7 linked regions of the Cricetulus griseus genome follow. The protein of the gene in region 3 interacts with the protein of the main gene of each other region in a pairwise test. Links are inferred from orthologs where the notes say so. Each region holds a gene or a part of one and is shown on either strand. Other genes may lie near its edges.

Region 1 (4,280 bases), on a different chromosome or scaffold from region 3:
CAGAGCTACAAACAAAACCAATAAGTAAAAATAAATAAATAAATAAGCAAGCAAATAAATAAAAATTCAGCCTTGGGTTTACATGAGACCCTTTTTCAAAACAGCAAAACCTCTGCCTGATGGTACACACTTTTAATCCCAGCAGTGGAGTAGTGGGGCAGAGGTAGTAGAATCTCTTTGAATTTGAGGTCAGCTAAACAAGAATAAAGATTAAAACAAAAGCTGAGCACAGAAAAAGGGAGGATGTTCAGACAACAGGCTGGATGGATAGATGAGGGAAAGCAACCTCAAAGAGGGAGGTTTTTCTTTATTGGGAACACAGATGGGCAGAATCTTGTGACTGTAGAAATACACCAAGGGAACTATACAAAGAGAGTTTCAGGTCAGACAGGTCCAAATAGATCTCATCTAAAAACATACCACTCTTAGCTGGGTGTTGGTGGCCCACGCCTTTAATCCCAGCACTCAGGAGGCAGAGGCAGGCGGATCTCTGTGAGTTCGAGGCCAGCCTGGTCTCCAGAGCGAGTGCCAGGATAGGCTCCAAAGCTACACAGAGAAATCCTGTCTCGAAAAACCAAAAAAAAAAAAAAAAAAAAAAAAAGCCAAAAAAACCAAAAACCAAAAACCAAAACAAAAAAACAAAAACAAAAACAAAAACATACCACTCCTATAATCGTAGCACTTCTAAAGTGGAGGCAAGAGGTTCAGGAGTTTAGTCATCCTCTGCATCATAGTCTGGTGTACATGAGACCGTTTCTCAAACACTACCCTCTCTCACAAACTAGTCAGAGTGCCGAGTGCTTCATTTTGGGGCTGCTGGCTGATGAGTTTCAAGATTACTGTATTGTATAAATTGAATGAGTTTAAATGTTCTCCAGACATGGAAATAAGTGTAACCAAAGTGAAGCATCGTTGTTTCAAGGGAAAAGGACTCATTTAAAAGTGCTTGTCTTTTGTGCATAATTTAGAGCCACACTCAGTACATGCTGGTGAATGGGACTTCCAGAGCCACTGATAAGTGTTTTAGCTTTTAAAATAGATCTAGGTTTACTAGGCAGAGAGTGTGGCTCAATCGGAGTGTTTGATAGCATGAAAGAAGCCCTGGGTCCGAGCTCCAGCACCGCATGAATGGGGCATGGTGGCACACGCCTGTAAACCCAGCGCTTGGGCAGTGGAGGCAGGAGAACTAGAAGTTGAAGACTAGCCTCCACTACATAGCCAATTAGAGTTCAGTCTGAGCTACTGGAGAACCTGTCTTTAAAAATCAAAAAAGTTTAGAAACCCTGGAGATGCAGGTAAAGTTGTTCAGATCATGGGGCACTGTTTCCGAACCTCCAATTCTTTGTAAAATAGAACAGATGAGCTATTATTCTTCCAAGGTTTGTTTTGAAGAAAAACGTTGGCCGGTGCCCTTACTTCCGTGTTGCTTCACGATCCTTTTGCGCTTGCGCCGGCTCATTGGAACAGAGGGCGGGGCTAACAGGACAACCTTAGAATCGCTCCAGTCCTTAACGCAGTTAGAATGTGAGGCTCGAATCTTATTGGAGCGAGATCTTGCCTTATGGCTTCCGGGCGCATTTTACGGCATTTTACGGCTTTCCATTCACTTCGCTGTGAAGATGGCGTCGGGCAGCGGGGTAGGTGTTGGTGTGAGGAGGTTTGAGGGGTCTGGGGTGGTTTTTCGGAGCTAAATAGAGACAGACTGTGAGACTTGGCCGACTTCCTGACACCTCTTCGTGATCTCAGGGTCAAGGTTCGAGAACTCCCCCCGTAAGGCCTTGGCGCAGGGACAGAGGAATCTCGGAAGTCTCTCGGGTTGGGGTCCCGAGTACCCCAGACCCCCGGGCGTTCCAGAGAGACTTCTCTTTCGAAAGGTCCTGGGCCGCCTTGGTGGCAGTTAGGCGGTTCCCTTAGTTTCTTCAGGGGAACAGGCACAACGACGGATCTTGAGCACTTTTTCCCTCTGCAGACAAAAAACTTGGACTTTCGCCGAAAGTGGGACAAAGATGAATACGAGAAACTCGCGGAGAAGAGACTCACAGAAGAGAGAGAAAAGAAGGATGGTGGGTGCTCCTTCATGAAGGGCTAAGGGGATGGTAGAGTTGATGCAGTGGCTCGAGAAGAAATGTCCCAGCAACAGGATGGTTTCTGTTAGCGTGTGAGGACAAGCAGGCAAAAAACCTAAAGCTTCCTCCTTTTCTTTTACGTGAGCTGCCCCAGGGTGTGATCCATATTCAGGGTGGGTTTCCCCATCTTAAATGATCCATCCTCCTCCCAACAAAAATAAAAAATAAACTGCAAATAAGTGTGCCCAGCTGCTTGGGTGTAGTTGATTCCAGATGTAGCCTAGTTGATAACTAATGTTAGCCATAACACGGCATGAAAACATTGAACATTATGCTACAAAGAGTGAATTACTGTCTTATGAAAGGTTTGCTTCTAGCAAAAATTCAGAACTCAGTGGAGGTGGACAACACCTAGGAAACGCTGTTTAAGTTTGCTGTCTTTAAAGTTGGGAAAAGCTCTTGAGAGTTAGAATCACCATCACAAGTTTGAGGGCAGCCTGGTCTCCATAGTGAGTTCCAAGCCAGTTAGAGTTTTTTTTCTGGCTTCTTTTAACTTCTGCATAAAGTATCTGTTGTGTCCCTTCCTTGAGGAATCCAAAAAAAGAAAGAGTAGTCATCTGAATTTTGGGATTCATACATTTCTTTTCCTTTCTGGCTAATAGACTGTAATACTCACCATTGATCTGATCCCCATACTCAGGAGAAGAGGCAGGGGGATCTCTGTGAATTTGAGGTCAGCCTGATCTACAGAATGATTTCTGGTACAGCAAAAGCTACAAAGAGAAGCCCTGTCTTAAAAACAAACAAAAATAAGAAAGAGAGAAAGGAAGGAAGGAAGGAAGGAAGGAAGGAAGGAAGGAAGGAAGAAACTGTAATACTGAAAATTGTAATACTCTTTCTCATTCTATTTCAGGAAAACCAGTGCAGCCCGTCAAGCGGGAGCTTCTTCGGCATAGGGATTACAAGGTGGACTTGGAGTCCAAGCTTGGGAAGACAATTGTCATTACCAAGACTACCCCACAGTCTGAAATGGGAGGGTGAGTAGCTTTTTGTCCTCTAATACCAAGGCTGGCCTAATATTTATATTGGTTTTAGGATGTGTTGACAAGAATCTCAGGCCAGGGATGGCAACCTTATCTACCATAACTCAATGGTTTGTTTTTCTTTGTCCCCTGAAGTTTGAAGTCTACCCAGTCCCAATTTCAAGAAGGGGTGTTCTGTGGGCTGCTTCATATCAGTAGTATAGTATTTTCTTGATATTTTCAAAGGGGTTATATAATCTGTCATGAAAGCACTGAGGTGTTTTACATGGAACTGTTAACAGTAGTTATACCCCAAGACTGTGACCTATAGAAGAGTTCCACAGAGCTTGTCAGCCTTTTGCCACCATTCCTTCAAGACTGTCAAGTTGAAATTTATATCAGGAGACTCATGCAGATAGTAGTTAGCTACACTTTCTCAGATTCTTCAGTAAACCCACTGTTTTGATGTCTTTGCTGTATAAAATAGCAAGTTAAATATTAAATATCATAAAATAATAATAATAGTTCATAGTTTGTGGGCATAGAATTGAGGGATAGTTGGTTACCGTGGAGATTCTTAATCAGAGTCTCCAATGAAGCTGTAGTCATGGAATTGGCTAAGTTTGCATTCACTGGGGCTTAAATAAAGTTGAAGATTCTCTTTTAGGCTTTCATATGCCTATGGTTTGGAGGCTGAAGTTAATCCTGTGGGCCTATTTGTAAGATTGTTCACAATAAAGCATAAAGAGATGAGTTTCCCTAAATCAAGTCATCCTCACAAAGGCAGAAACCATTCTTTATGATGATATAGTCTTGGAAGTGATATACTATCTCTTTTGACATGTTCTGTTCGTTGCACAGAACACTTTGGCACAGATTGGGAGGAAGCTACAAAGGGTGGGAAGACAAGGAGAGTCAGGCTGCCCTGGAGGATGGAGACTATTTTATAAGGCTTTATGAAAATGCTTCTAAAAAGGTGCTGGGAGCCAGATGAAGTGGCTCATGCCTGTAATACCTGTACTTGGGAGGCTGAAGCAGGAGCAAAGTTAAAGCCTACTTGAGCTACAGGGTTAGAGCTTTTCGTTAAAAACAAAACAAAAAAACTCCCAAAACAACAACAACAACAACAAAAAAAACACAACCAAAAAACCAGGCCTGTGGTACACACACACACATTGTAATTCTAGCACTT
Region 2 (3,500 bases), on a different chromosome or scaffold from region 3:
ATGTCTTTACTCTCAAAACTTACTAACACGGAAGAGGAAAAATTGCTACAATTTCCACTATTTTTTTTTCATTGAGAATTTCCTCTGTTGCATGGGAGAGATTGAATGTCTTTATGCTCTGTTAAACATGATGACATTTTTAGATCAGCAGAAATCTAGGTCAGACTTCTGTAGTCTTCAAAGCATTACCTTTCATTAAGACCAAATGGGAACTGGAGAGTGTCAAAGCAGCCCCTGCGTCGTTCATTAAACTGATGAATTCTTAGATATGTAGTACAAATGAGGCTTTCTAAAGGGCGCTGCTGTTATGAAAATGATTGAGGAACTAATTTTCAGTTGATTTTAGTCTTGATGAAAATACATTCAATCACAGCATTAGATGACATGGCCCATGTTTGTGAATTATTCTTGAAGGTAAGACAGTAATTTCTGTGGAACCAGTTGAACCAATAAAGCAGTCTATACTTTAATGTATATTCCTGTGCAGAAACCTGGTAGATACAAAGAAATACCATCTATATAGCACAACTTTAACAAAGCAAAATGATTGTATATGACCTTGATTTTGAAGGCCAAATATATATGTTTCTTCTTGCAGGCTAGATGGTCAAGTCAATGGATTCACCAACACTCAACTCAAGGAGTCCACGAGAACCTCTGTCTATTCTTATGATGTCAGAAATAGCCTCAGGTACTAAAGACAGTTATAAAACCAATGACAGGACTATTCCTGTGTCTACTTATTTACATGCAAGCTAGCCATTTGTTTTAAAGCATGGAACTTTTGATATGTAAATACTCTTACATGAAATTGTTGAGTCAACAACTCAATTATTGCTGGGATGCACATAGAATAATATAAAATGTGATTGTTGCTTTAATGTCTAAAATCACATAAAACAAGATTATGACATTGATGTTGATATTCTTCTTTTAAAGATTTATTGATTTCATTTTATGTGTATGTATGTATACCCAAGTCTATGTATGTGCACCACACATCTACTGATACCCACAGAGTCCAGAATGTATCAGATCTCTGGAACAGGAAATGTAGGTGACTGGGAGCCACCCAATGTGGGTGCTGGGAACTAAACCTGGGTTCCCTGCAACAACAAGTGCTCTTACCTACTGAGCCATCTCTCTAACCCAGGCATTCACATTCTTGAATGAGATCTTCCTGACTATATCATTGAACCTGAGGTTTGAATAGTCAATTAAAGTTCACTTTTAACTTAAGGTTTATTGGGGAAATCTATGGTTTAGAAATGAACTAGGCATCAGGGAAACAGATACTAAAAAACAGTACATAGACAGTTAAAATCATCGGCATGCTCTAAGACAATTTTATTAAATCATTAGTTTTCACATTAATAATACTAAAGCAGAACAAGACAGGGATGTTAAGAGTTAAATGGGAGAGGTGGAAAATTTTTTCAGAGGTTGATTAATAACACTTGAACATTTTCATTTGAACAGTTGGTTTAGAAGATATATATATCCTTATAAGGTACATACATACACACATATATACATATGTATAAATATATATATTACATTTTGCATTTTATTGGAAAATGTTTTTGCTTTTATCATCCTCACAAGTGACATTTTAACATGAAACTCAATGGTTTTATTGTAGTTCCGATACTGGAACCAGGAATGCTGGGCCTAAGGACACAGTTGTCTATACAAGGACATATGTGGAGAGTAGGTAATGGAAAAGTGCTTCAGATATTTCATTTCTTTTTACAGCTGTGAATGATCCATGCTGCTTAGGAGGTGCTACCATTTCAGGGTGTGCCTCCTTCATAGAGAGGACAGTTTAATATATTGTAAGTTCTATGCAGACAATGTTTATGTTGTGCGCAACATAAGTAGTTGATAAATGACTTATAGTCACTAAATATACTCAAAAGAATTGCAAATAACTAATGAGTAAGTAATAAGATTCACAATCAGATGTTATTACATAAATGTGCATAACTATTTGGTTATAACAAACTTTTTCATCTCAATCACCTTAATGCAAAGGCTCTACTACTTACTCCCAATTTAACACAGAAGACATATCTTTAGGTCAACATATCATGACCTAAATTGCAGACTATTGATGTCCTATGAAACTGTCTGCTTGGAATGAAGGATGTCAACAAAAGTATAACAGAGGACATGGATTCAAGGAGTATAAAAAATGAGAACTGGCCTAATTATAGGTTAATATAATGGAAAGTCCATAAATGCAGACACATGTGACATGTGTGAATTTATTTCAATGAAGCCCAAGACAACAAATAGTTCAGGGAATCTTCTGTGTGCATGGGAACTCCCAAGGACAACTCAAGACCTCTTTGGGTCAAACCTGTGTGTAATTTACACATATAGCTTCCAAAGTAATTTTTTCTTAATTCAATTTTTGCTCCGTTGTGGCCCCATGACAGTAATTCTTGCTAACATTTAATTAAACTAAAAGACAAAACATTTGAGAGAAAAATAATAAGTAGTTACTGAATCTGAAAGAAATAGGCACATATATAAATAGCATGGGGATGATATAATGACAAGACACAAAATATTGGCAAGTAGGATAAAAGAATAGGCATTGATTCTATGCTTACATGACACTCTGTTTTCATACATTGGTAACCCTATGAGATAGCATATCAACACATTTTGATTTCTAAAGAAATGTCTCATTGAAACAAAGTCCAACAACTGTGGTATCAATTTTTACAAAACAGTAAACCTCTAGAATTAGGCTTGGTCTACTAAATACTACTTTCCAGATTTTTTTAACTTATTGAATAATTCATTAAAATATCAACTTGATTTATACAAGTACAGAAACTAAACCACATTTGAATTATTTAGCCCCATTGGCTATGGTTTGCCTATGTAAACTGCTGTGCACATGGTATCGGAATATCTGTGTGTATGGCATTGGAATATCTGTGTGTATGTGTACAGACAGCAATTCTCAAGTGTGATTTCTGTGCTGGATTCAACAGTATCGCTTCAGACTTGTTACAAGTGGAAATTACTTGGTCCCATCCCAGACCTGAAGAATCATAAACTCTGCCATTGGGGTCCTGGCCATCTGTGTTTTAACAAATTCAATGTGCTTTTGACGCAAATGCAGATTTGAAAACTGTAGCTATAAAAGATAATATTGTATCATGTCAGACCAATAATATGTAGGTTAGAATATTCTAAAAGGATATATTTGCTACTGTTTGTTTCTTACCCTAAGGCGACAGTGATGTCCCTCAAATATCTCCAGCTTTCTTAAAGTGTACACTGAAGGATGCACAGTGTATTGTGAAGTCTCTAGAGTTAGGTTCAGGATTGAGTTATTGTTTGTCATTTACAAACCCAATAGCCTTGGCAAAGGTGCACGTGTGTGTGTGTGTGTGTGTGTGTGTGTGTGTGTGTGTGTTGTGTTGTGTGTGTGTTGGTATTTTAATTTACATTAAACTATTTTACTTACTTAAATTACTTAA
Region 3 (3,500 bases):
CACCTCTAGAGCACTATTGGTATACTTTCTCTTAAGCACTGCCACTATCCCCATTCACAATGTTCAGGTTTGGTCCTTGAATATTGTTAGCCTTTTGTAGTATTTGCCTTTCTTACTGTTTTTGATGTTTGAATTCAGGGTCCTGTACATGTTAAGCACCACCACTAAACTATATACTCCAGCCAAAGCCCCTAATTTCTTATTCACTTTTTTTTTTTTTTTTTGAGATTTGAGACAGGGTTTCTCTATGTAGACCTGGCTGTCTTAGAAATCGCTTTGAAGACCAGACTGGCCTCAAACTCACAGAGATCCTCCTGCCTCTGTCTCCTGAATACTGGGATCAAAGGCCTGTGCCACCACCGCCCATCAGCAACTAAATTTTTCTTTTCTTTTCTTTTCTTTTTTTTTGAGACAGCGCCTTGCTATGCATCTGGGTGGCTGGGTGGCCTGGAACTTGTTATGTAGACCTTGAACTTACAAAGATCCACCTGCCTCTACTTCTCAAATCCTGGGACCAAAAAAGCTGTGCAACACAACACTCAGCCTGTATATGAGTATTTTATCAGCATATGTATCTGTTTACTACTTGTATGCCTGGTGTCTGCAGGTACCTCCCCCAGGGACGGTCCTAAAATTCTGTTCTTTCTGCCTTCACTTGAGTGCTAGGTTTATCTGTACTCTACCATGCCTGTCTCATGATACATTAAGTTTATTTTTTACTTTTTTTTAGGACAGGAGAGACAGTTAAAAGCACTTGCTCTTCCAGAGGACCTGAGTTCAATTCCAGCACCTACATCAGGGGGCTCACAACTATGTAACTTCAGCTCCAGGGTATACAACACTTCTGGCCTGCTTGGAGCATTGCACTCAACATTCACAGTCCCACAAACAGTCACACACACCTACACACAATTAAAAATACTTTTAAATTGTTTTAAAAAGTTTGTAGCTGGATGTTGATGGCACACGACTTTAATCCCAGCACTCAGGAGGCAGAGGCAGGCGGATTTCTGTGAGTTCCAGTCTAGCCTGGTCTCCAGAGCGAGTGCCAGGATAGGCTCCAAAGCTACACAGAGAAACCCTGTCTCAACCAACCCCCAAAAAAATTTTAAAAAGTTTGATATATATGAATGTTTGTCTGTGTGGTGCCACATATGTACCTGCTGCCTGCACAGGACAGGGTCGGGTCCCCTGGAATTGGAGTTAGAGGTGGTTGTGAGTCACTCATGTAGGTGCTAGGATAAGAGCCTAGGTCCTCTGCAAGAGTAGCAAATTGTCTTAGCTGCTGAGCCAGTTCTTAGTCCCCATTTAAAATTTTTGAGGTAAATCATGTATATGAAGTCAGGTACCAAATTCACTTTTTTGTGTCTGGCTATCTAGTTTTTCCAATACCATTTGTTGAAAAGGACTCTCCTTTCTCCAAATTCTTTTCACTTTTATCAAAAATCAGGAAGTATAATAATTGAAAGCAGTTTTTGGGCTGGGGGTATAGTGCGGCTAATAACTGCGTGCACAAAACACTGAGCACCAGATAAATTGGGTATGGTGGTGCACACGTGTAATCACAGCACTTGGGAGATAAAGACAAGAAATCAGAAGTTAAAGGCTCTGCTACATATGAGTTTGAGGCCAGTCTGGGCTACTGTCTTTAAAATAAAATCTGTTACCATAAAGATAAATTAATTGTACTTTGTCAAAACTAGAAATCTGTGTGTGAAAAATAGGGAGACAAGGAAAGAACTGAGACTATAGGTTGAATATACAGTTTTGGCCTTCGGAAAAAAGGAAATAGCCACTATTTAATGATTCTTTTAGTTGTGATCTCAAGATCGGTGTCTCATATATTTTAGTTTCAAATTCAGCCTTTATTTTTGCCCTTTAGCAATATGACATCTTTTCAATTCTAGTTTTTGTTGTTTTTTTTTTTTTTTCCTGTAAACTGCTTATTTTGAACTTCTCCAGTGTTCCCATTATTCTCCAAGGACTCAGGCATCTGGGTTCTAAATTCCCCAGGTCTCTAGGGAATTAGACCCTTCTCTCTCTTGGCAGGCCCTGATGTCCTCTAGGTGTTTTAGTCCAGCCATATACTGTCTTGGGGGATATTCTTAGCCTTGCTGAAAGTTGCTGGTATTTTAATTGAACTCCGGCAAGCTGCTTTGCACACCAGGAGGCAGAGTAATGGCAAGGTAACTGGAACCCTTAGTAGATCACCAGGTTCCAGACTGTTCTGGTGGAGCTTCTACTTTTTTCTTATCCCATGTTATTTCTAGATTTTGTCAGTATGGTTTCCTTTCTCTTATTCTTTATATCCTTTTCCAATACAGCTTCCTGATTGTTTTAGACTGTTCACATCCCCTGCTAAACCTCTTAATTTTAAAGGTTTCTGATTTCTCTTCCTGATGGCTAAGGTGGTTAAATATATTTACATATGTTTCCTAAATTTTTTTTTCTAGGGCTTTGTGAAGGATGTCCATGAAGACTCTGTCACCATCTTCTTTGAAAACAAGTAAGACCTTGGGAGTAGACAAACATACTAGGTCCTAAAAGGAGAGTGAAAGGTGGAGACTGGTAGGTGGCAGGGAGGAGCTGAGAGTTTGGGTAAGAATTCCAGGAAAGAAAGGGCAGATAGCTAGGTGCAAGTTGTAGTCATTTGATACTTGGTATCAAGGGATAAAAGACCACTATGGAAAAAGAGCCTGTTGTGACTCTTTGACGATCAAGTAGGATAAAAGTGGTCTTGGCAAGGGAGTAATCCCTTGTGAAAAGGTGGACAATTACATCAACCTGAATAGCTTTCATGTCACTGCTTGTCTTGTAGCTGGCAAAGTGAGAGACAGATTCCTTTTGGGGATGTCCGGCTACCACCTCCAGCTGACTATAATAAGGAGATCACAGAAGGTGATGAGGTCGAGGTAAGGCCTGTGAAGTCCAGCTTTCCAGTGTTAGTTTGCCTTTTTCCCCTCAGGATTCTGTTTTTGTTTTTGTTCTGTTTAGTCAAGACAGGGCTTCTCTGGCTGCCTGAAAACTTGTCTGAAGACCAGGCTGGTCCCAAATTCATAGAGATCCACATGACTCAGCTGGATTTTGGGTTTTTAACTTAACTGATTTCATGGGTATGATCTGAGGGTGCACCAGTTTAAAGGGGACACTTCTTTGTGTGTGATAAATCCACTTAAAGTCTAGTCCTGTAGTATACATATGTGAGTTTGAGTGTGAGTGAGACTTGGAATTGAACCCAGCGCCTTGGGCATATTTGTGTGTTTGTGGGGTGTGTATGCATGATTGTAGGCAGGAGTGTGCCACAGCTCACAAGTGGTGGTCAGGACAGCCATGAGCTCTTGGCCACTACAAGAAAAATGAAATAATTAAAACTCAGTGATCTCATACTTTCAGTTAGTATCTCCTTACTCTGGTTTTATTTTTGTGGGCTTAGGAATCCTTTTTAAGTGTCCGAATGCTTTCTCCAATTCTTTTGTTTATTTTTTTAAAGATTTATTATG
Region 4 (2,374 bases), on a different chromosome or scaffold from region 3:
AATGAGCTCCTTCCTGGGCCCTTTCCTTTCTGGACCCTGTAATGGAGCCAGGAGATGGTATATATTGTGCAGACAGCAGAGACGGGTCCTTCAGGAGATATTGACCAGGGATAGATGCCAGTTCAGCTAAGAGTTTCCCAGGTTATCATGGCCAAACTAACTCACTATCCTCTGTGCTCTGGGGGCCACTAGATGAGGAACAATGAGGGAAACCAACAACTGGAAAGAGGGACAGAGCAGAAGAATGTACTGCAAGCAGAAGGCAGAAGCACCTCATAGCTAAATGACAGTTTCCACTGAGGGCACCAGATGACGACGAGACAAGACCCAACAGACTAGGTCTGAGTGGTGGGGTGGCCTCACCTCACCCCACCCCCACTGCCTTCCTCACAATGGGGTTCATTGCTGAGGTGTCGGAGGGCATACTAGGGAGGGTGAGGCAGATGCCTACCCACCAGACACCCGCAGGGCCGGAGCCCTTTCAAGCATGAACCATACCATCTGGGCTCCACCACTCCCAGTGTGCTCTTAGCTCTGTGTGAGGCCTGGGGCCCTGGAGGACTTCTTAGAGCTCCTCCAGCAACCATCATGCAAGGTGGTGCTGGGGACTGTCCTTGCTGTGCTAGGAGGTGGAGGCCTCATGCTGTGGGCTCAGAGGAAGAAAAGGAAGACAGCCAGAGAGTCTTCTGGGGTCAGGTCTTCCGAATCCTGCCGAGGAAATGACAGCTGGATCAAATCTCACTTTAGCCGCCTCTCCGAAGAGAGGTTGCCCACCCACCACTATGCCAGCTACAATGGCCCCTCATGTGAAAATAGGCAGGTGGAGGCAAGCACCACTATCCACATGGATACCTTCACCTCCACACATGGAGAAGGGGGCATGGCTCTGCACCGAGATTCCTTTGCCAGCAAACACAAGGTATCTGGGACCTCAGTGACCAAAGAGACCCAGAGGGAGTCAGGAAAGACCTCATCGATGGACAATGAAACATGGGCAGAGGTGGCTGCATGTGCCAAGGACATTGATGCCAAGGGACATCACCTGGCTAATTCCATGCTAAAACGCGCCAAGGTTTACCAGCGTGGAGGCCATGTGGAATCCAAGGACATCAGCCCAGAAGAGCTGAAGGCTCTGGAGGAGGTGGAGATAAAGCTGAAGGGGAATTTCCTCGCTCACCGGGAAAGCACCGTAGCTGGTGCCAACCAAACGCGCACTGTCTATAGCCAGTGTCGCCATGGTCATCAAAACCAGCACAGCTATTCAAACCACCAGAGCAACCAGAATCATCCTGTACACGCTAGCCACCAGTGTCATCATCCAGGTCTCTTGAGCCACCAGGGTTATTCAAGTCATCCAAGCCGCCAGAGTCATCCGGGCCACTCAAGCCACCAGTGTCATCCGGACCACTCAAGCCACCAGAGTCAATCGAGCCACTCAAACCACCAGAGTCAGTCGAGCCACTCAAACTACCAGGGTCTTCCCGGTCACTCAAGCAGCCAGAGTCACCAGGGTCAGCCAGGTCACACAAGCCATCAGAGCCATAGTCTGCCCAGCCGCAGCCAACAAATCTATGACTCTTGAAGCCACGTAACCACGTACCCCTTCCCCCAACAGGGCTGGCTCACATACACAGGCCTGTTTTCTCTTCTCTGGGGAAACCTATGTGGTCCAGGGTGAGAGGCTGCCACCCAAATCCCTACTTCTGGCCCCAGCTGGCATCATGAGGAAGGGAGGAAGGGATGCAGCTACAATAGCCCAAGGGCCCTGAAGACCCACGAGAGAAGACATGAGGCAGATTACAGGAGCAGCCATGAGCCCCACACTGACTCCACATGCCTGAATGGAGCCAATAAAGCCCTACATGCCCTCTGTGTCCAGGGGCTCTGTGTCCATCTGAGTTCTGGGCAGGGTTGGAGGAGTGGGCCTTGGCTGGGGACCTCTCATTGCACCAGACTTAAAACCATAACAGTTTCCCTGGCTTCAGGTACTGGGACTAGTACTGCCAGAGGCTTCAAACCCACCTGCCTACCAAGAGACCAGGATGAAGCCAGGTGATGGGGAGAGGGGACCAGGGTCAGGCTTTCATCACAGAGTAAGCCATAAGTCATCCAGGTAGGACTTTGGGCCCCATCCTCTTGGTGCCATCTCAGGTCCCTGGGGATTCATGAGGATCCATGTGTCCACAGCTCTAAAACTGTAAGAGACACATCTGAGTCATGTCACCGTTGCTTGAGTTGTGACAGTGGCTATTGCATCTGCCACCAATATTCAGACTACTTGGGGCTTTCACTTGTTCTCTTGAGACAGGGTCTCACAATGTAGCCCAGGCTGTCCTGGAACTCACTATGTAGGCCAGGCTAACCTTGAACGCCT
Region 5 (3,500 bases), on a different chromosome or scaffold from region 3:
GTGTTCACATTAGGATTCGTGACAGTAGCAAAATTCCAGTTAAGAAGCAACAATGAAAATAATTTTATGGTTAGGGGTCACCGCAGCATGAAGAACTGTATTAAAAAGGGTTACAGTATCAGGAAGGTTGAGAGCCACCACATTAGAGGAATATCCTGCCAGGCATCCTGTTGATGGGGGAACTGGAAAAAAGGACCACGAAGCAAAATGAAAACGTGCTTTATTTTCCATTTTTGCTTTAGAAAACCACTGATGGGGAGCCTTCTGCAAAGGATGCCCTGCAGCCAGGCCGGAACCTGGTGTCAGCCGGCTATGCACTCTATGGCAGCGCCACAATGTTGGTCCTTGCCGGGCAGTCTAGTGTCAACTGCTTCATGCTGGACCCGGTGAGACACTTCTGAGGTTGGGTGCTTGCCTAGTAGCTTTGAGCTTGTACATGGTGTGTGTGTGTGTGTGTGTGTGTGTGTGTGTGTGTGTGTGTCCCAAGTGTGTAATGTCCACGGAGGTCAGAAGAGGGTGTTTGATTCCCTGGAACTGGAATTACAGGTGGTTGTGAGCCACCCAGCATAGGTGCTGCAAACCTATTCTGAGTCCTCTGGAAAAGCAGCAAGTGCTGAACCATCTCTCCAGCCCCACTCCCCTTTTTCCTGTAAACAAGGACATCAGCAAACCACACACACACACACACACACACACACACACACACACACACACACACACACACACACACAAAGCACAGCAGGTGTCCTCTTCGAGAGGCAGTTCTCTCTTGAGAGTGTGTGGGGTGTGGCAAACTGCTGCCAATCAGAACATGGGCTACCTTTGATCCTAACACAACTGCACTTTCACCTCCCTGGAGCACGGGCACTTAATAAATAATGTAAGACTGAAGTAGAGATTGACAGCATACATCACAGATCTGGGCCTGGGGCCCCAGGGGAAATAGGGCAGCTTCTGAAAGCAGCAGTGTTTGCTGCAGTGTCACTTGTCTAGGCTGTCCAGTCGCCCTGATCAGCTCCTGGTGCCCTCTCTGCTGCCTCTGAGTTGATAGACTGAAATTCTGTCTATGGTTGCAGATGTGCTTGTGGAGGGTGGATTTCTGGGTGCTGGGCGGCCTCCCTCCCCTCCTCCCTCCCTCCCTCCCTCCCTCCCTCCTTCCCTCCCTTCCTCCCTCCCTCCCTCCCCAGATACGGATGTTTGTTGGATCAGCACAGCGGCTGAAATGCTCCCCTTGCTGACTGCCAGGGCTCCATTTGACTTCAACACTTCTGCTTGGCTCTCTTTGGCCTGATAGAGGTGAAGTTACCCCAGGGAGATGCCAGGTGCCTCCCTTTTCCTCTTGTCTCCCATCTAGGATAAGCTGATGGCTGAGACCATGGATAGAATATCTCCATGTGGGTTTCTAGCAGGCTTCAGCTTTGAATGAGCTTTCATAACTCCTGTCTCCAAATGTGGGAGACTCTCCTCCTTCACCCACTGGGTGCTTAGGCTGGGTACAAGATGGCTGCCTGGGGAGCATGGCTGCCTGAGCTCTGCAGGGGTCTCCGGGTTTCTAGACATTTTAGGTGGAGATACTTACTTTGTCTTCTTGACTGTACAAAAATATTTCTATAAAATTATGGCTCAAAGTTTTAGGAATAACAACAACAACAACAACACCAACAACAACAAAAGCACAAAAACAAAAAAGAGGAGACAGACACACTTGTGGCCATACATTTCTGTGACTGTGGTTAATTCCCTCTTCTCCCCACCCTTTCCTAGCCTCAACATCCCTCCATGTCTTCAGGAATGAGTTAGCAGTCTCTTGGTTTGTATTTCACATACTCCCTCCATTCCTGTCTGTGTCTGAATGGTTTTTCTTTCTTCATTCTTTGACAGTGTCATATAATGAATTTGGTCAGTTTCATCTCCCATTCTTTCTAGCTAGTCCTCTCCTATTTTCCTTCTTCCCTCCCTCCTTCCTCTCTCCCTCTCTCCCTGTTTGTGAATCAAACAGAGATTCATTCATTGCTTGTATGGGGGGCAAGGGCAAGGGCTATTTCTGGGGGATGAGCAATTTATCAATGACTATTACAGTGAAGAAAACGATACCTTCTTCCTAGGAACCATTTACTGACAATAGTCCTTCAGGGAGGGTATGGCCACATGAGCCCCCTTCCTATCTATGATTTTGGAGGTAGGGTCTCACAGTGCAACCCAGGTTGACTTAAACTCCTAATCCTCCTGCCTCAGCCTCTCTGGTATTGAGGTTAGAGTTGTGCTCTCCCATGTCTGGCCTTGTAAACTTTCTTGTTTTATGAAAATCATTAGCACCCTTAAACCCTGGCTTCCCTTTACTCCTTCCATCCTGCTCACCACTAGAGCCTTTGGCTGCTGCAATCAATGTGCCTTGGGGTGAGATATGGTCACAGGTCATGCTTTGTTCATGCCCGGGGGAGCTTGCTGGTCATAGGTCTACCTTCTCCCTTGTTTCAAAGGCCGTCGGAGAGTTCATTCTGGTGGACAAGGATGTGAAGATCAAGAAGAAAGGTAACATCTACAGCCTTAATGAGGGCTATGCCAAGGACTTTGACCCTGCCATCGCCGAGTATATCCAGAGGAAAAAGTTTCCTCCAGTGAGTGAGTAGGCAGGCGGGACTGGTGTGGTATTCAGCTTTGGGAGGCGTGCCCTTTAAAGGAAAAGGGACACTTGGCACCGAGAAGGGTCTGGACTTTATCTGGGACTCTTGCTTTATGAGTAAATCCACTGATGTGAATTATCCTGGAGATGAAAGGGGAGAGAGGTAGAAACCCCTGAAGCTAAGTACTGGGGCTGGAGTGCTTGCATGGAGACACCAAAATTTGAGTATTATTTAGTCTTTATCTCCAAGCATAATCTGGACAATAAATTCAACCAGATGAGCTCCTTTACAATAATAATAATAACAATACATCTGTGTTTCTGAGACCTCTTAGCCCCCAAGCATCTACCGCGTGAGGTCTGCACCTTCACCCCCATGTCTTTGATGGATTTCTGTCTGTTGTATCAGGATGGTCAGTGTCAGGCAGGGAGATGACTCAATGGGTAAATTGCTTGCTTCACAAGCTTGGGGACTGGGGATCCCCCCCCCCAGGTCCAGCTTACAGGCAGCCTGCTTGTAATACCAGAGTAGGGAGGCAGAGAAGGGATCCCCTGAGTGAGCAGTAACCTGGGAGAGACAAATCAGAAGCTCTGGGTTCATGTGAAAGACCGGGTCTCAATATATAAGGTGGAGAGTAATGGAGGAAGACACCAGACATCAACCTCTAGCTTCCACATGCACATATTAACCTATGTACATACCTACATGCATGCTCTCAAACATACACAGACACACACACACACATAGACACAAACACACACACACACACACAGACATACACACAGACACACACCAGAGACACACACACAGACATATACACACAGATACACACACAGACACACACCAGAGACACACACACAGACATACACACAGACA
Region 6 (3,500 bases), about 23 Mb from region 3:
GGAGCTTTTGATTCTCCTACTTACAGGGTATTTGGATTATAGGCCTGCGTCACCATACCAGACACAACTTTGCTTTTTAAAGTACAAGAAGAAGGGTAGGATGGGTGGTGGTAAGAAGCAAGATAGGATGAGAAGTGTTCAGGGACTACATAATGATAATGTCAGGGCTGTGCTGTTAAATCACCAGTGCTGAGAAATTATGGCAAGTACCATATTTAGCATTTTATTTATTTTGACTTTTTGAGACAGGGTCTGCCTGTTCTTTAGCTGTGAAGAGACACCATGACCCCTGCAACTCTTATAAAAGAAAGCAGTTAATTAGGGGCTTGCTCATAGTTTCAGTGGTTTAGTCTATCATCATCACGACAGGGAGCATGGCTGTGCACAGGCAAACATGGTGCTGGAGAAGTAGCTGAGAGTTCCACATCTGGATCTGAAGGCATTAGAAAGAGGGAACCATTGGGTTTGGCTTGGACCTTTGAAACCTCAGAGGTTAAGAGCACTGCCTGATATTTTAGAGGTCCTGAGCACAGTTCCCAGCAACCACATGGTAGTTCACAGCCATCTGTAATGAGATCCGGTGCCCTCTTCTGGCATGCAGGCAGAGCACTGTATATGTAATAAATAACTCTAAAAATAAATAAATAAATAAATAAATAAATAAATAAGGAGAGAAAAAGCAAAACAAAGAAGAAACAATTTCAGAGGTGAAAATAATTTAAAAAAAAAAAAAGGAAAAAGAAACCTCAAGACACACTTCCTCCAACAAGGCCACACCTCCTAATCCTTTTTAAGTAGTGCTACCCCCTGATGACTAAGCATTTAAATATATAAGCCCATGGGAGCCATTATTAAAACTACCACATTCCATTTCCTGGCCCCCTTAGGTTTATAGCCATATCACAATGCAAAAATGCATTGAGTCCAACTTCAGATGTCTCCATAGTCTATCATAGTATCAGCACTATTTAAAAGTTCAGTTTCTCTTGAGACTCATGACATTCTCTAATTGTAACCCCCTGTATAATCAAAATAAAAAAGCAAATAACCAACTTCCAACATACAATGACACAAAATATATATTACCATTCCAAAAGGGAGCACAGTGAAGAGATAGTCTGGACCAAACCAAGACCTAAAACTGGCAGGGCAAACTCCAAACTCTGTATGTCCATGTCTCATGTCAAAGAACTCTTCAGATCTCCCACTCCTTTCAGTTTTATTGACTGCCATATACTTTTAGCTCCTGAGCTGGTTCCACACCCCTTATGCAGCTTTTCTTGGCAGGTATCCCATGACTCTGGCATCTCCAACATCTTGGGGTCTCCAAAATAGGGTCTTTCCTGGGACTCTCTTATGTGGACCAGGCTGGCTTTACAGAGATCCACCTGCCTCTACCTCTGGAGTGGTGGGATTACCTCAATGGCAATATTTAGCATTTCAAAAGGCCACTGGCTATCACATGAATGAATCTGGGAAGGATAAGAGTAGGGGCAGGGTGACCAGAATCCCTAGTCCTGGAACAAGTAGGCATTCTGTTTAATCTAGTGAATGAGAGGACCCAATTCTGGAGCCTTTTTCTTTTGTTTAGAATCACTAGATGCCAGGTTTTCTACTAAGTTTTTCTTCCTTGACTGTGTCTTCTCTTGTCCTTTGGAGGTCTGGGAGGGGTTGAATGTTGTGAAGACAGGCCGGGTGATGCTTGGAGAGACCAACCCTGCAGACTCTAAACCTGGGACCATTCGAGGAGACTTTTGCATCCAAGTTGGCAGGTAAGAATTGGTGTTTTTCACTTTTTTCCAAAATCCAAGTTAGTTGCTACAAGAATTTGGGCCTCTGAGGCTAGAAATGGACATGATAGCATCTGCAGGTCAATTTATTTTTATTTTAAAGATTATTTATTTATTTATTTATTTAGGTTTTTTCGAGACAGGGTTTCTCTTTGTAGCTTTGGAGCCTATCATGGCACTCACTCTGGAGACCAGGCTGGCCTCGATCTCACAGAGATCCACCTGCCTCTGCCTCCCAAGTGCTGGGATTAAAGGCGTGCGCCACCAATGCCCAGCAAGATTATTTATTTATTATGTATATAGTGTTTTGCCTACATGTATGCCTGCAGGCCAGAAGAGGGCACCCAGCCTCATAGTGGTTGTAAGCCACTATGTGATTGCTGGGAGTTGAACTCAGGACCCCTGGAAGATCAGTCAGTGCTTTTAATCACCGAGTCATCTTTCTAGCCCCCTATTTATTTTATTTTAGCTTTTAAAGATTTATTTATTTATTATGTACGCAGTGTTCTGCCCGCATGTATGTCTGCACACCAGAAAAGGGCACCAGATCTCATTACAGTTGGTTGTGAGCCACCATGTGGTTGCTGGGAACTGAACTCAGGACCTCTGGAAGAGCAGCCAGTGCTCTTAAACCTCTGAGCCATCTCTCCAGCCCTATTTTAGCCTTAAAGCTTATTTTATTTTTTACTTGTTCTTCATGTATATGGACAGTTTTTTTTGTCTGTATATTTCTTGGTGCCCAAGGAGGCTAGAACAAGGCATTGGATCCCCCAGAAATGGAGTTACAGATAGTTGTGAGCCTCATGTGGATGGTGGGAACTAAACCCAGATTCTCTGGAGGACTAGCCAGTGCTCTTAAAGGCATCTCCTCTGCCCCTATTTTAGTTGTTTTGTTTGTTTGGTTGCCTTTGATAGTTTGAGATAGGATTTCTCTGTGTAGCCTTGGCTGTCCTGGAACTAGCTGTTGGCCTTGAACTCACAGAGTTCTGTCTGCTTCTGCCTCCCAAGTGCTGGGATTAAATAAAAGCATGTGCTGCCGCCACTACCACCAGGCAAGTTTAGCTGCTTTTGAGACAATGTCTTAAGTATGCTAGCTGGCCTCAAAATTGCTATCCTTGAATTCCTGATAGTCTTTTCTTTCTCCCTCCTTCCTTCCTTCCTTCTTTCCTTCCTTCCTTTCTCCCTTCCTTCCTTCCTTCCTTCCTTCCATCCTTCCTTCCTTCCTTTTCTTCCTCTTTCCCTCCCTCCCCCTCTCTCTCTCTCTCTTTCTTTCTTTCTTTCTTTCTTTCTTTCTTTCTTTCTTTCTTTCTCTTTCCTTTCTTTTTCTTTTTTCTTTCTCTTTCCCTCCCTCCTTTCCTCCCTCCCTCCCTCCCTTTCTTCCTTTCTCTTTCCTTTTTCTTTTTTCTTTCTGTCTCTTCCTCTCCTCCCCTCCTCCCCTTCCTTCCTTCCTTCCTTCCTTTCTTTCTTTCTTTCTTTCTTTCTTTCTTTCTTTCTTTCTTTCTTTTTTTTTTTTTTTTTGAGACAGGGTTTCTCTGTGTAGCCCTGGCTGTCTTGGAACTTGATCTATAGACCAGGCTGGCCTTGAACTCAGAGATTCTCCTGCCTCTGCTTCCTGAGTGCTGGGATTAAATGTGTGAGCCATCACTTCTTGGCTCAGGTCACTTTTAAATGGGAGTTTTGTCTTCTGCCTCTGAAGGTGGAGGCTGACTT
Region 7 (3,500 bases), on a different chromosome or scaffold from region 3:
CTTAACCTTTTTCTTACTGCCTTTAATATATCTTTTGGCTGGTGATTCTGAGCATGGAATTGTCAGTTGAACCTGGAAGTGACTCACAATCACATTGATACAGGATACTCTTAACATAATAACGTAAGCTCACTTTGGGTTCTAAATCTCACTTTTTCCACTGTTAACTTCTGTGGATCTCTAGAGTTAGCCTTTCAGAACAGGTATGGCAGTGGCAAAATCTCAGGTGCACCAATCAGTTGTGTGCACCTCAAGAGAAAGGGTTTGTTGAGGGAGCAAGTGCATGTGTCACTAATGTTATTCCTCTGTTCTTCCTGCTAACTCTATTATTATAAACCATCAGGGGATAGAAATTGGCAAGAATTGAAATGCTCAGCAGGATTCCTTAGCCCATTCAATCCCTTGCTGGCTCAAAACAGTGCTGGCAAGAATTGCTGTGGAGAACGACTAGCCTCATGCACTCACTGTCCCGCACCACGCTGCATTTCTCACTGATGGCTCTCTGCATTTGGAATATAGCCCTGGAATGGAACATAGCCTTTTTTTTCTTTTTTTTTTTTTAATACCCTAAGACCAGTGAAAGGATAGAAAGAATAGAGAAGTGTAGGCCTCTTATATATATTTTGAGGTGTTTCCAAGGAAAAGAAAATGAGTCTGTTTAGTCTTTAAATATAAAAGATTAAGAGGGTTTGTAATTTTATTTACAGTTTGACTTATCACAGATGTGTTAAACTTAAGCTTAAAAAATACATTATAATGTGTTACTGTATTTTTAAAGACTTTTCAGTTGGTCTAAGAAAAAGAATTAGTTTTTAAAAATCGGATTTCATATCAGATTTCATGAAATAACAAAAGACTTTAACTCATTTTACACCCATTTTTTTTTTTACCAAATAATTATGGAAATTTAACAGAAAATTTACTGCCAATGTATAGCTTTACTATTACTTCAAGCATTAGCATATGTTTCTAGGTTAATGCATTATATAATATATATTATTCATATATTACAATTGTGCTAATATTTAATTGTATGAGTATGTTAACATATTCCTGTTTTCTTTCCTTATAACTTATTTGTCCATACATAATTGAAAAGAAATTGTAGTTTTCACCTTGGTAAAAATATTGGGAAAATTTTCACAATGTATCTTTTCTAAAATTACAGTTTATAAAAAGTAGGATTGAGAGCGATGCCCTTTTGTTTGGCCTTTTTAAAATAAACATTGGAAATCTAGGAACAGAGGGAAAGTGTGCTGTGCTTGAGATTTCAGTGTGTGTTGTACTTGAGGCTTCAGGATCTTTTTAAGTCTATAAAGTTCTGAGACCTAAAAAAAAAAAAAAAAAAACTGTAAAATATACAATCAGTCCCTCTGTTATATGTTCACTAATTTGGTAATAACAAAAATGCTGAAATTTTTAAAAGATAATTTGGTAAATTGTCTTCTGTTTATATAATGGAGTTAGAATATGGGGCTCTAGAATATATGAATTATTTTCTCCAATAATTTTGAGTAATAACTCATTTTATTAAAAATTATCAGAAGTTTTGTCACTTAATGGTTTCTCTATATGTATATCTGAACGTTACATAAAAATATTACTTGTGATTCAATTCAGAGGATAAAGACCACCCAAATTATTCTGTATGTGATAGTAATGTAATTATTAGTCCTTTAAAATTCTCCCATGAGTAAAATATGAATTATTAGGAGTTTATCATAATCTCATAATTTTTAGTTAAGAATATATTTGAACTAAATTCATCCAAATTCTCCCTAGAAAATAGTTGTGCAAGGACTGATGCCGTCTTTACTCCTTATCCTGGATTTAAAAGTCACGTAAAGGGTAAGTAGCTGCTGTATAGTATATGTCACTGGCAAAAGTTTGTTGTAGCTTCATAACAACGTGGAATAGAAATACTTTTCCCATCTAAACTTTATTCTAAACCGAAGGCATTGCCTTTCTTCCTTTTTGAGCTTCTGGTTAGGTGACCATTATGGAAAAGATATACTGTAAGGGAGAGAGAATTTCTGCTTTTGGAGCATAAATTCACATAGGCTTAAAAGTTTCTTAACTTAGTTTCTAGAGTTGTGAATACATATGGACCACAGACTAGACCCGAAGGAATTCCAGGGTCAGGTCACAAACCTACCGGCATGCTTCGAGACTGTGGCAACCAGGCTGTGGAAGAACGACTCCAGAATATTGAGGCCCACTTGCGATTGCAGACGGGTAAGTAGAGAGTTAGGTGATGTTCTGTAATGTGCTTTTGCAAGTCTTAAGGAAATTAGATTCATTTAGCTTCCGGAGTTTCCCCAAACATTCACTGTAAAGCCCTCGTTCTAGGTGCATAAAACAGTTGCTACTGTCGAGGAATCTGTAAAGTTCTCAGTGTTCATGCTTTCTCTTCTTATACTTCTTGACACTTTCTAAATTGGGAAACAGATCTAGATAGATTTTGTTAGCCTCGGTTTATTGAAGTTCCAACAAAAAATGAATGTAATGTGTTGCTATGGCCAATTTCAGAACTTGTATGACTACCTCTAATTGTTATTAGCCCTTCTGCCAGCTACAAAAATGTAGATAAATGTGGTCCTGGTCTTCAGTGCATTCCTGACAATAAACACATAAATGAGTAAGTATCCTGGGGGAAATGAGCCCATATTTTTTGAACAATACTGTCTCTGAAAGTGCCGTGCCTATATCAACTTAGTGATTAACAGAACTCTGTGGAGGTGTGTGCTATTACTATTGGAAAGGTAGTAAGACTGAAGTCCAAAGAGCTCAGGCAGCCTCCCAGGATATTATAGTAAGTGACAGCTAGGAAGCAAATAGTCTTACCCATTTAGTTACCATGCTCTTAATTCTCCTAAATGTCCCTGCATGTTTCTTCTTCTGCCTCCACAGCTACTGCTGTAGATGAAACTACTGTAATCTCTGTCTTGGAGTGATAGGTCTGTTGGTCAACTAGGTCATTTTCACCCTGTGACCAAATTGCTGTTTTTCAAGCTCATATCTGATGTTGTTTGTACCCAGCTAAAAATTCTTTACTAGTTCTCTGGAGCTCTCAAACGCATAGCAAACTCAGTACTTAGCAGAGAGACTGTGGTCTAGACCAGGCAGGTCTCAGGGATGATACTTGAAACAGTAGAAAGATTCTAAATATAATAATGAACTTGATGTCTAAGTATCTTTAAAACACCACGCCCTCCTCTAAAAGAACTGTCATTGAGAATTATGGGAAAACTCCTTTAAACATTTTTCTAGGTCAAAGGAGAAAATATACCATGCTAGGAGAAATAGGATTTGAAGAGAATGATAGGATAAGCACAGCCATCAAGTGGAACTGTCATCTTGTGACTTCAGTATTTTTCCTTCTAAGTAACTACAACATCTATTAGAAACACTTTCTATACGGAAACTATTCAGTATCCCATAAAATGAATTTTGTAAAACAACTTGTAGCAATATGGGATGCATAAGCAATATTTAGAAAG

Evidence for each region.
Region 1: the proteins of Fxr2 (region 3) and Zmat2 interact in binary tests that used the Homo sapiens proteins (3 or more experiments, as listed by UniProt). The two-hybrid records come from large-scale screens. The link is inferred for Cricetulus griseus from reciprocal best matches to the Homo sapiens genes FXR2 and ZMAT2.
Region 2: the proteins of Fxr2 (region 3) and Scel interact in binary tests that used the Homo sapiens proteins (3 or more experiments, as listed by UniProt). The two-hybrid records come from large-scale screens. The link is inferred for Cricetulus griseus from reciprocal best matches to the Homo sapiens genes FXR2 and SCEL.
Region 4: the proteins of Fxr2 (region 3) and CUNH10orf62 interact in binary tests that used the Homo sapiens proteins (3 or more experiments, as listed by UniProt). The two-hybrid records come from large-scale screens. The link is inferred for Cricetulus griseus from reciprocal best matches to the Homo sapiens genes FXR2 and C10orf62.
Region 5: the proteins of Fxr2 (region 3) and fructose-1,6-bisphosphatase 1 interact in binary tests that used the Homo sapiens proteins (3 or more experiments, as listed by UniProt). The two-hybrid records come from large-scale screens. The link is inferred for Cricetulus griseus from reciprocal best matches to the Homo sapiens genes FXR2 and FBP1.
Region 6: the proteins of Fxr2 (region 3) and nucleoside diphosphate kinase A interact in binary tests that used the Homo sapiens proteins (3 or more experiments, as listed by UniProt). The link is inferred for Cricetulus griseus from reciprocal best matches to the Homo sapiens genes FXR2 and NME1.
Region 7: the proteins of Fxr2 (region 3) and Mbip interact in binary tests that used the Homo sapiens proteins (3 or more experiments, as listed by UniProt). The two-hybrid records come from large-scale screens. The link is inferred for Cricetulus griseus from reciprocal best matches to the Homo sapiens genes FXR2 and MBIP.

Annotation. Positions count from the first base shown.
Region 1 is NC_048595.1:200,734,123-200,738,402, reverse strand, and holds the start of Zmat2 (zinc finger matrin-type protein 2), read left to right. Parts: upstream 1-1,480; 5' UTR 1,481-1,619; coding exon 1,620-1,637; intron 1,638-1,969; coding exon 1,970-2,063; intron 2,064-2,979; coding exon 2,980-3,103; intron 3,104-4,280. UniProt on the Homo sapiens protein: Involved in pre-mRNA splicing as a component of the spliceosome.
Region 2 is NW_023276807.1:255,218,610-255,222,109, forward strand, and holds part of Scel (sciellin), read left to right. Parts: intron 1-598; coding exon 599-691; intron 692-1,642; coding exon 1,643-1,714; intron 1,715-3,500. UniProt on the Homo sapiens protein: May function in the assembly or regulation of proteins in the cornified envelope. The LIM domain may be involved in homotypic or heterotypic associations and may function to localize sciellin to the cornified envelope.
Region 3 is NC_048600.1:83,483,175-83,486,674, forward strand, and holds part of Fxr2 (fragile X mental retardation syndrome-related protein 2), read left to right. Parts: intron 1-2,453; coding exon 2,454-2,506; intron 2,507-2,818; coding exon 2,819-2,912; intron 2,913-3,500. UniProt on the Homo sapiens protein: mRNA-binding protein that acts as a regulator of mRNAs translation and/or stability, and which is required for adult hippocampal neurogenesis. Specifically binds to AU-rich elements (AREs) in the 3'-UTR of target mRNAs.
Region 4 is NC_048596.1:19,496,463-19,498,836, reverse strand, and holds the end of CUNH10orf62 (uncharacterized protein C10orf62 homolog), read left to right. Parts: intron 1-192; 5' UTR 193-640; coding exon 641-1,582; 3' UTR 1,583-1,874; downstream 1,875-2,374.
Region 5 is NC_048596.1:280,490,886-280,494,385, reverse strand, and holds part of fructose-1,6-bisphosphatase 1, read left to right. Parts: intron 1-242; coding exon 243-386; intron 387-2,480; coding exon 2,481-2,618; intron 2,619-3,500. UniProt on the Homo sapiens protein: Catalyzes the hydrolysis of fructose 1,6-bisphosphate to fructose 6-phosphate in the presence of divalent cations, acting as a rate-limiting enzyme in gluconeogenesis. Plays a role in regulating glucose sensing and insulin secretion of pancreatic beta-cells.
Region 6 is NC_048600.1:106,872,426-106,875,925, reverse strand, and holds part of nucleoside diphosphate kinase A, read left to right. Parts: intron 1-1,659; coding exon 1,660-1,772; intron 1,773-3,500. UniProt on the Homo sapiens protein: Major role in the synthesis of nucleoside triphosphates other than ATP. The ATP gamma phosphate is transferred to the NDP beta phosphate via a ping-pong mechanism, using a phosphorylated active-site intermediate.
Region 7 is NC_048598.1:146,092,768-146,096,267, forward strand, and holds part of Mbip (MAP3K12-binding inhibitory protein 1), read left to right. Parts: intron 1-1,782; coding exon 1,783-1,848; intron 1,849-2,082; coding exon 2,083-2,235; intron 2,236-2,560; coding exon of another isoform or gene 2,561-2,586; exon of another isoform or gene 2,587-3,500. UniProt on the Homo sapiens protein: Inhibits the MAP3K12 activity to induce the activation of the JNK/SAPK pathway. Component of the ATAC complex, a complex with histone acetyltransferase activity on histones H3 and H4.